Saccharomyces cerevisiae S288C: one gene and its partner. Changing the gene in region 1 together with any one later gene gives a genetic interaction. Each region holds a gene or a part of one and is shown on either strand. Other genes may lie near its edges.

Evidence for each region. Genes that interact genetically often act in the same process or in processes that back each other up.
Region 2: mutations in UTR2 (region 1) and PDR11 together harm fitness more than expected from each alone (negative genetic interaction), as found in Saccharomyces cerevisiae (2 studies listed by BioGRID).

The regions. Positions count from the first base shown.
Region 1 is NC_001137.3:75,761-80,363, reverse strand, and holds UTR2 (chitin transglycosylase UTR2), read right to left. Parts: upstream 2,312-4,603; coding exon 908-2,311; downstream 1-907. Other genes in the region: CYC7 (cytochrome c), read left to right, coding at 387-728; YEF1 (NADH/NAD(+) kinase), read right to left, coding at 2,933-4,420. UniProt on the Saccharomyces cerevisiae protein: Dual chitinase/transglycosylase that plays a role in cell wall architecture. Chitinase and transglycosylase activities are coupled. Required for the polysaccharide cross-linking at the septa and the cell wall.
Region 2 is NC_001141.2:327,283-334,242, forward strand, and holds PDR11 (ATP-binding cassette multidrug transporter PDR11), read right to left. Parts: upstream 5,161-6,960; coding exon 925-5,160; downstream 1-924. Other genes in the region: alpha-1,3-mannosyltransferase MNT3, read left to right, coding at 1-713; YIL012W (uncharacterized protein), read left to right, coding at 5,729-6,070; TIR3 (Tir3p), read left to right, coding at 6,445-6,960. UniProt on the Saccharomyces cerevisiae protein: Transporter involved in the uptake of sterol.

The DNA.
Region 1 (4,603 bases):
TGAAGAAAAAGAAACGAAAAAAGAAATGGATCAGCAGCCGGGTTATAGCGCCCCTTATTGAATTATTTTCCTTCGTGCCTTCTCTGAGAAGGGTCTGCAGTCCCCCGCCGAGGGGTCTTTTCCCACCTTCTCAAAGCTAATAGCGATAATAGCGAGGGCATTTATTCAAGTTCCAACTACTATAAGTGGCCGCAAGGGGCAAAGACAAAGGCACACAACATATATATATATCGTGTTGTGAAGCTCGAGAAGATTAGATCAGAATAGTTCTCTTTTTGTTGAGGTTGAAACAAAATCAAAGACTTATACAAGAAGATCACATACAAGCATTTATTCACATTACTTTAAGTAAACTTCAGTAAACTACATTACATCATAAACAAAACATGGCTAAAGAAAGTACGGGATTCAAACCAGGCTCTGCAAAAAAGGGTGCTACATTGTTTAAAACGAGGTGTCAGCAGTGTCATACAATAGAAGAGGGTGGTCCTAACAAAGTTGGACCTAATTTACATGGTATTTTTGGTAGACATTCAGGTCAGGTAAAGGGTTATTCTTACACAGATGCAAACATCAACAAGAACGTCAAATGGGATGAGGATAGTATGTCCGAGTACTTGACGAACCCAAAGAAATATATTCCTGGTACCAAGATGGCGTTTGCCGGGTTGAAGAAGGAAAAGGACAGAAACGATTTAATTACTTATATGACAAAGGCTGCCAAATAGGCTATGTCGTCGGAGGAGATATTTATTACTTTTATTATTCTAGTTTTTTACAGTTATTTATTAATTAATTATTTTTATATGCATGCGAATAAAAAGTCTATATTTAAGTTCTTTTATTTATTAATACATTTTTTTTTGAGAGTCCTGTGTAGCCTATTTGTTCTTAGATGCAGATCCTCCTATAAGACATAACCTAGGATGACACATAAAACAGTCAAACGCCAGTTTGCCGCTACGTTGGCACCTGCGTTATTACCGCTCATTGAGCTTGTACTGCTGGAGGCGCTTCCGCTTACAGAAGATGTTGTTTGAGTTTGGGAAGTGACGGAAGAGGATACGGAGGATACGACTTTATCTCCGTTCTTAGTAGCAGTAGAGGAAGAAGAAGAAGAAGAAGAAGATGATGATGATGATGATGAAGCGGTGGAACTAGTCTTACTACTCTTCTTAGTTGAACTGCTGTGATCGGATGACGTTTTGGAGGAAGAGGTTGCAGTTGAGGAAGAACTCTTTTGGGTGGAAGATGTGGTAGCTCCCTTATGTGGGTCCAAGCCAGATCCCTCATCACTGTCCATCATGACCTCATCATCGGTAATAGCAATGTCTTTGGCCAAAAATTCACTGGACGAAGTATACACATAAGCAGAAGTACCATTCTTCTTGGTATCGCTTGGTGGATCATAACATGTGATATTAACTTCATTGACAATAGCATAATAATATCCTGGGTTGCTGATATCGGATGCGTCCCAATTAATTTCACCACCAGACCATGCAATGGTTCCTGGAGCGTTGGTAGAATTACCACCTGGCCAAATGGAAATATCCACCTTGGATGGGGTTTGTGGGTATTGATATTTTTGGGTGGTGGCGTTATAAGTTTCGTTCTTGTACAAGGTTCTACCGACGACACCATCGATGGACCATGTTACATAATCTTCGTGCCAATCTAATTCGTAAGTATGGTAGTTTTCAAATGTATCAGTAGTGGAAATATTGGCAGAATTCGTGTAGTTCAAAACACTTTCCCAATAGAAATTGGTTTGAGCAGTTTCTAGATCAGCACCGACGAATTCGTAATCAAGTTCATCACCTGCGCCGGAATACAGAATGAACCCAGTGACCACACCAGCAAGATGTGACGTCTTTATTCTAGCACTGACCTTACCATACCAAACAGCCCTCGTGGAGGAAAGAACGGTACCACCACTGTTCTTGGGCATCGCCAAAATTAAACTTTCTTCATCATCATAATCCAAAACGTCACCAGTATACAACCAATCAGCCTCACTAACATTTCCTAAGAAAGTGTTAGCATTCCCCAACTTAGAGGAATAATCTTTGAATTTAGTGGATGAACTCTTGCAGATAGGTACAGGCATACATGAATCATGACTAAACGAATATCTTACATCACAGTTGTTCAGACAATATTGACCAGTACCACATTCACCATATTGTGAGCAACATGGTTTATCTTCGGGACATGCTTGAGTTGCATTGCAAAATGTAGCGGCCTCTACACGTACCACGAAGGAAAAAATACTGACTAAACAAATTAGCCAACTATTAACGATTGCCATTATTAATTATATAATTAGCTTATTTGCAGGACAATAAATAGAAGTTTTACAAAGGGAACAGGGTCCAACAGAAACCATAATCACCAGGAATGTTGTTCTTTTTATACCTCAGGCATGTTTTAAAAGCCTCTTCTGCAGTTTTAATTTGGAAACTATCCACCTTGAAGATTCCCACTAAATCTTCGAAGGACGACGATTTTCTTCGAGGTTGAAAAAAGTTTTTCAAGAATTTTCGCGCTTCTTCCTAATCGGGAATTTATCTGTCATAATTATAATTCCCTATTTGGGAATTGGAACGAAATATATGCTACTATTTTAAAAATTATTCTGCACCATTCCGGAAATAACCTTCCGGTGACTGCAAGTTAGGCAACCTTATCATATGGTTAACTAGCATAATTACAAACGCGCATGAGGAAATTTAGCGAAACTACCTGCCAAATGCGGCGCTCTGGTTCAACTGTTTCATTTCTCCATTTTGTATAGCTCTACTGGATCTTCTTCGACACTGCAAACGACGCAAGAGCATTCTTGAAGTAAAAGAGGTAAATACAAAGCTGTTTACAGGCTCATCATCCATTATGAACCCTTGACTACGGAAACGCAGGATGTGGGAAATCGTTAGATTGCAAAATGAGCCTGACGAGTCCGTTCAACAACTATTTCTGTTTCTGTTTCCGTTACGGATTTCCTCTCCTCATCTTGTGCATCTGAGCTTATGCATGAACTCTCGAGGGGATTACTTATGGTGTCGTTTCCATTTTTCGATGAGTCTAATCTATATTTTTCTTGATTTTTTGGCGAGAGAATATGTGCAAATGGCTTCTGCTCTTCGCGGTCATTCCAATTAAGATTTTTACTGATACTTTCAAAAAATTCACTGGCAGATGACTCGATAGTCGGTACCGAATAGGGGCTTGCAGTTATCACAACATAGTCACCCTGTTTCAATTCAACTCTATCTTTTCCGTCAAAATTCACCCACGACGTCCCTCTTGAGTTCATATCTACTCTAACTTTTAATTCCATGCTATCTGGTAAAATTATAGGCCTAAAGCTCAAAGTATGAGGACATATAGGCGTCACCGCTATGGCATTTACGCTTGGCGATATTAAAGAGCCTCCTGCACTCAATGAGTATGCCGTGGATCCCGTAGGCGTGGCAACAATCAATCCATCTCCCTGAACCTTAGTCATTAGTGAGTCGTTTCCATAGAGTTCTAATAGGGATAAACAAGGAGCTGGACCTCTATCTATGGTTACTTCGTTCAATACGTGATGTTCGGAGATGAAATCGATGTAACATATTTTTCTCCCAGTTGCGGCATCAATTTCTGGTTTATTTCTACGGTAGAGTTTGCATTGCAACCTCATTCGTAAATTAATACGAACCTCATCTGTTAAGATATGTTTCAACGTTTCTTTGAAATTTTGAAATTCAAAATTTGTTAGAAATCCTAATGATCCAAGGGCAAATGGAACAATCGGCGGAACATCTTTCGTGAATATAGATGAAGCAAAAAGGACAGTTCCATCACCCCCTAGTGTAATCATCAAGTCAAAGAATGAATCGTGTTTTTTAACAAATTCTTTTGACCAATACTTTACTCTGTTTTTACTGCAATTGCTGTCTTTGCAGAGGTCACCAACAGCAAACTGAGTTGACTTTTTAAAAATATCTTGTACATATACAGTTATTGAATGGAAATTGCGTAAGATCCATTCCACCACTTCTCTCATGAGAAATACAGTGGAAATATCATTAATATTGCAGATTATTATCAGGTTTTCAACCTGCAAGTCAACCTTAGCATTTATAAGATCCTTTCTCAAACGCCTTACATCGTATGCAGTATCAACATAAAATGGGTATAAATTACTCGTGTCCTCACCGACAATTGTTTCGCTCGATAATCTTCTGACCCAGTTTTTTGCATCATGATAACCGCACCTCATTAAGCCCGGTTCTTCGAAGTTGCTTAATACCTTGCCTTCCGCTAAAACTTTAACTGATGTCATTCTGTCAATAGTATCCATAGTATCCATCTCAGCATCTCCCTTGGTACATGTCTCCGGGGAAGCGTTAATCAGTAATCTATCAGTTTTCATATTCTCTTTTAGTAAAAAATGTCACGTAAGCAGATTTATTGAGATTGCACTATTTCCATTTCCCTTTCACAACGCTATAGAAGTGAGATGAATACACTAACCTGATTGTAGGTTTATTTATATATATAATATCAATAGCTAGCAGTTTATTAAACGACCTGAAATGCAGTTTCTTCGATCACC
Region 2 (6,960 bases), on another chromosome or scaffold:
TAGTTTTTGATTCGTCATTACCGTTTTCTTCCGAAACCTCAGAAGAAGCATCTGTGTATTACAATTTTTTCAAAAAATTACGACTCCATCATGTTGATAGTGGTTTGGTTGTAGTCAATAAACTTGAGAAATTAAATGGATTGTTGATGTCTTTTATGTTAAATTTGGATGGAAAATTGCAGAGGTGTGTGTATGGTGACAAGGAAATATTCTGGTTGGGGCAATTATATGCTGGCCAGGATTATTCTATCAATCCCGTTGATGGCAGTATTATTGGACCTGTTAATGAAGAGCCTGAAAATGATGACGGACATAAAAGCGGGATGTACTACATTTGTTCTACGCAGATTGCACACAGTGACTCCAAAAATCGATTACTATGGGTAAACGGTGGACTGAAGACTTGTAAAATTTCGAACAGTGCTGAAGATGACTTTGGAAGAGAGCCAGAGTATTTTAAGAGTAGATATGGGGACATTTCAAAATTAAAAAGGATATATGATGCTTCGTTGAACGTAGAGGGACTAATCGTTCCTGACGTTTCTGTTCATCCATGGATGCAAATCAAGGAATGTTCTAATTATATGTATTGTGCATATGCTACGGGTGACGGACACACAAACTCTGAACTTGACGAAGGTCGTCTAATCACGTTTACTGAAAAGGAATTACGATATATCAATGATATTTCTCGAACCTGGAATGCTAATTGAGAAAAAAAAAAGTGAAAAGGAAATGAGAGTATTAATATTTATTAAGTATGGAGCATATATAATCCGAAAAATGATTATAGATTAATTTAGAATATGATTTGGGAATAAATTAACAATTAGTTTAAAGCAGAAGGCAGCCGGATGAGGAACAAGAACTGTTGAATAGTATTAGGTAATTTTGAATGTTTTCTAACGGAACGCTATTCACTGATTATACGCTTTGTTCGTTTGGATTATGAGATGTTTTGGACCGCCTCATTGATGGGATACACTTCTTTATACCATCAATCACAGAAGGCCAAATTTTTTTGATGTAGGTTAGGTAGAAGCCCACAAACATGGCGGCAATGTTAAAGCAAACGAAAACCCATTCAAAACCAAAATTTCTCCATCTGTGATGATAACTCATATTTTCTTGAGCAAGGAAGTCATCCCCAACAGTGTACATGCAGTAGGCGCAGACGGTGTATGTGTTATTGATGTGCAGTTTCCCACCAAATTCATCAATAAAGGGTTTCATAAACTGACCGCAGGTTTGACCCATTACAGGTTGGCTTGGTACCATTTCACTTGTCGAGCAGTTTACTTCTCTGTCATGGAGAAGTAAGCTTACGAAAGTTTCAATGAAATACGTGTATGGTGAAACCCTGTACATGAATGTCCAAAATCTTGGGAATAACGAGTATGGTTGCATAACGCCACAGAATGAAGCTGTGAAACTATAGAGGAAGGCAACAAAGACAGCGGCAGTTTGTAAATCGGGGGCAGAATATAGAAGCCACAACCCAAATGACAAATAATACATGGAAAATAAAATATAATTCAAGTAAAAGACACCAGCTACACGGGCAGAGGTTTCGAAACCGCAACAGAAGTAGCAACACAGGAAAAATAAGGTAGAACTGGAAATGGCTAATGGTAATTCAACAATAGTTTGAGCAATCAAAAGAACGGTCCAATGATAAGTATTAGATCTCGCTTCCCTGGCGATATATACTTCTTTAGATTGCAAAGCCTTATCTTGAACCTGATTGATCAAAGGGGAGGAAACACAAAGCATCATGAAGCACAAGAAAATAGCATCTTGCAGACCGTTGATATTATGCTTTGTCCTCCAAAATGAAAATCCAATGAATAGTCCAGCGCCAGCATTCAAAGCATATTTAGCGAAAACATAGGTCATGTCTCTCTTGGTACAAATGTACTGTCTCTTTGTGATTAACTTTATTTGTTCCATATACGAAGGCGGACTCCATACGGACGTAGTGAAATCAACACCAGATTTCCGGGCTTCTTCTTCTAATAAAAGCAAATCATCAGCAACCCGCACTTTTTCTGGAGAGGATTGCCAGAGTTCTGCCCAGTTAATTGAATCAGATTGCTTATGGTAAGATACTGGCTCATCAATTTTGCTTGAGGTTGGCTTCTCTGCATCATCCATTGGAATATTTGTACTTCCGCTACCAACAACGTCAATAACGAAATCAGCCGGATTATCCATTTCTCTGTCAAATGTTAGGCGTCTATCGTGAGCTACAAAATAGTCACAGGCATTAGGTAATGAACCAAAATAGACACACTCACCACCTCTTTTTAGTAAATAGATGTTATCAAAATAGCTGATGACACTTTTGCTAGGCTGATGAATAGTACATAAGATAGCCTGACCTTGCATCGAAAGCTTTTTCAGAAATTGCACGATGGTTAAAGCTGCTTCGGCGTCTAGCCCTGAAGTAGGTTCATCTAGGAATAACAACAGAGAAGGCTTAGTGACCAATTCAACACCAATAGATAATAATTTTCTTTGAGTTGGAGATAAATCAGCAACCAGTTTTTCCGAAGGCAATCTTAATAGGTTGCTAACAACTCCTAAATAGTCTCTATCCCCATCACCTCTTAGGACGCAGGAAATTTCCAAAGACTCTCTCACAGTTAAGAGCTCTAAATGAACATCTTGCTGTTGAACGAACCCTATACTTCTTCTGAATGCATCAATATTCGTTAAGGGCTGTCCATCGATTAATAATTCACCGGTAACAACCCCGCTTTCGGTCCTTTGAGACAAGACATTCAACAAAGTTGTCTTACCAGCACCAGATTCACCCATTAGGGCAGTTAATCCGGAACTTATATATCCAGAAGCGTCGTTGATCAATTTTTTGTCTCCAATGGTATAATTGATATTTTTCCAGGAGATGACGTGCTTTTGCGTTTCCATAGCTACGGATTCCTTAGTATGATTGTTAACAGTTTCATCTGGATGTTTAATATTGTAATCAGTATCGTATTGATGCGAGACTGATGGAACAGAAGAGGATGAAGTGGAAAAATTGGCTATCGGGGTCTTGGGAGTACATACGCCATCGTTGTTGGTAATAGCGCTTTTATTATTCTTTTTTTGGCTATTCAGAAAGGGACAGTATCTTTTGAGATAGTTATTCCAGCGCAATAAATTTTCTCTAGTAAACAGAGGCGTGATATATTCCGCTGCTAGTAAAGAGCAAAATAGGAAGAAACACAGAAACCCAATGATAATACCGAAATTTCTCCACACGTGATGGTAAGTGTATTTCAATCCACTTTTTAAATAATCACGGCCTCTGACGTAATCGTTACCTAGGGTAGCGCCTTGCCAGGCACAAGCTTTATGACTGAATGAAATATTGTCATAATATTCACCTCTGGGAATAATACTTTCATGACAGTCTAGTTTCAGGTTAAACAATTCGTTACTCAAAATGGCTTCCATGGCAAACATAGCAGGATTCAAATATGCAATCCATATGAACCATGGATGCATATCTTTCATATAAATAACATAGGACGCGTACATGGCAATGGCTAACAGTAAGATACCGGCCAATAGGTTTGCCATTGATAGAGTTGGAGCGATCAAAGCAGTTAATGCAAATAGTGACACCATGCAAAAATTATAGACGGAAAGGAAAAGCAAAAAGATGAAAAACCTAGCTGCATTGTACTGTAAATGGGCCAAAAAGTAAAGTATGATTGTAAAAATAACCACCAGTATAAATTTAGAGCAGCAATCGAAAAAATTTGTTGCTAAAGTTTCCACCCAATTATAATAAAAATGGAGCTGGACATGTTTACGAACGACGGGTTGCCTTTGAAAGGAAGCAGGCATGTCGGCGAGAGAAAGAAATGTAAAGAATAGGATGGAAAAGAAAGTTAAAGATCCTCTAGAAAACGAACCAATTGTTGTCAGGGGAATGTTATAAAAAAGGGACCCAATAACCAAAGACTGCACCACAACAGAAACAAATTGAGAAATCAAGTAGTTTCTGTCACCAATGATTCTTTCGAAAGCTCTTACAGTGCACGTTTTCAGTTGCGTCTTTAGCGGAATACTAAAAATGGGGGAGATATCATCCGGATTAACATCTTTTCTGGTGCATTCTTGCACTGTTTTTGAAGTGATGGCCTTCCAGTGTTTATAGTATGGAGACTGAATCCATAATGTATGCAAATCTGTTTCATTATTGATGTTTAAAGCTTGATTTTCTTCAGAAACAACAGATGGAGTGTCAAGACCAACAATGGAATTAGACGTTTCCTTGAACTTAAAATTTAAGATTGATGTTAAATATTCAATAATACAATCGTTAGGGTTTTTTTTTATCTGTAAGGTGTCATGAAAATGGGTTAAACACTCCTCCATGGTTCCGTAAAACACCTGGAAGGAATCACCTAACATAAGAATCTTGTCAAACTTGCTGACAATTTTGTCGCTTGCTTGAGAAATTTTAACAAAATTCACCGATCTTGTAGCTTTTGCCATCTTTTGGGTAATGGAAAGAAATTCTAGGGCGGTGGCAGAGTCCAAACCCTTCGTCGAGTTGTCCCATAAGTAAACAGACCCATTGGCAATAAACGTTTCTATAATGGAGATACGTTTCCTTTCACCTCCAGAAACACCACGAACGTAGTCATTACCCACATACGTCTTCTTTACGTGCGACAGTCCGAACTCTTTTAATAACTCGTCTCTCATTTCAATACGCTCTTGCTTGGGAATGTGAAACTTACAACTCAACGCAAAATCAATGGTTTGCTCCACCGTCAGATACGGGAAGTGAATATCTTGTTCGTTATTATAAATGATCTGATGGGGGCATTTGGAAGCAAACTGTTTGTACTCATTGTCTTTGAATCTAATAGACCCTTCAGGCGAGTATTTCAGATGCTTGTGACCATGGAATAGACCTTTGAAGAGCGCTGATGTTGGGTTTCCCAGTACTAAGACGACTTCACCTTCATTAGCACGAAAAGTGATATCACTAATTTCTAAATGGCCTACGTTTTTGAATTCCGATGCGGACTCTTCATCGTTCTGAACAGCACCGAGGGATTCTTCCAATTGAACGGTAGCCCCATCAAAGGTGACTGAAGCGTCAGGAATTGGATTAAAATATTTGGAAAGAGACATCCGCGAGGCGTTGCTTCTCTAATTTTACTCTATCGTGTTTAGTTGTGAATTTTTTTGCTACAGTATGCAAGTTCTTTTTACCAACCCGTTTACGAACTAATGAGAAAAGGGTTTAAGTGTGTGATAATACTATTAATAGCTAAAAGAGCAGAGAGCTTTACGATGTTGTATGTTGTTTTATATAGGTGAGAGCAGGATCTGCGGAAAATACTTCGTACCGTAGTATCCATTTTGCCTATGGAGGAAAGCTTGTTTCCAAACCAGGAGATCCGCAGACAGGAAAAGTTCGAGGCCAAACAAAAACCGCAGCACAATGGAGTAAAAGTCGAAGGCACGGGCCCCAAACGATAGAGTGGAAGTTGTAGGAAACAAAAGTGGCCGTCTATGTGGCGCTTCTCTGCGGTGAATTCTGTGCGAAGTGCCTAAACGAAAACGGACGGAGAAGGCTGCGGGGGGATATCCCTTGCATAAAGGATGCCCGGCACTGTCCTAGACGGTGCCTTCCCTTAGAGACTAGGAGAGACTTGAGTAGGAGAAACTGAGCAGGAAAATTCGAGAGATAAAGTACATGTGCCTAGGTAAGCTGTACTTCGAACAGCTAATATTAGTAAGATGCATAAAGGGGCGTCAAAGTGGAAATATAACGACAGGAGAATCTCGGTGTGTAAGTTGGAATGTGTATTGCACCACTTCCATGATTGGGCTTTTTTCCTGGCGCAAAATGTTGCTTTTTCAACATTTTTCTTATACGCAGAGAGAGAATCGTCAGATAGGTGGTAAAACTTGGAGCCTAATTAGCTCATTATTTCATTTGAACGAGACATTGGCTTCTGCCCTACATCACCCATACGAGACATTGGCCTTATACGAGGCGTACTTCGCCTTGCGGGAAAAAAAATTTCTTTTGTAAGCGAGGTTACTCAGAAACTGTGACTGAAGGCAGAGGTTGGAAACGTGTGTAGACTCCAAATGGAACGATAGGAACGTGTACCCTACCGCTTCTGCACACGTTTCTTAGATATGCGTGCCTTAAGGCGACCCATTGTTCCTGTTTACCATGATTTCTGTAGGCTTTTTTTTAGAAGGCCCTAGAATGGATTGCAGATTTCCGTCTGAGAAGGCAGTATACGTACATATGAATATATATATACATATATTCTTTGGTGGAGAGTATAAGCGTTTCGTCTCCTCTTCCTTTCTCTACTGCAGATTTTCTTGCTGGTTGTTTGATTTTTTCTTTTTAGTGTTCCCCAGATCCAATTGTTCAACCGCCCACACACAACAATGTCTTTCACTAAAATCGCTGCCTTATTAGCTGTTGCCGCTGCCTCCACTCAATTGGTTTCTGCTGAAGTTGGACAATATGAAATCGTCGAATTTGACGCTATTTTGGCTGATGTCAAGGCCAATTTGGAACAATATATGTCCTTGGCAATGAATAATCCAGACTTTACCCTACCATCTGGTGTTTTGGATGTTTACCAACATATGACCACTGCTACTGATGATTCCTACACCAGTTATTTCACCGAAATGGACTTTGCTCAAATCACCACTGCCATGGTTCAAGTGCCTTGGTACTCTTCTAGACTGGAACCTGAAATCATCGCTGCTTTACAAAGCGCGGGTATCAGTATTACCTCCTTAGGTCAAACCGTTTCCGAATCTGGTTCCGAATCTGCCACTGCTTCCTCAGACGCTTCTTCTGCTTCTGAATCCTCTTCAGCTGCTTCTTCTTCTGCTTCTGAATCCTCTTCAGCTGCCTCCTCTTCTGCTTCTGAATCCTCTTCAGCTGCTTCT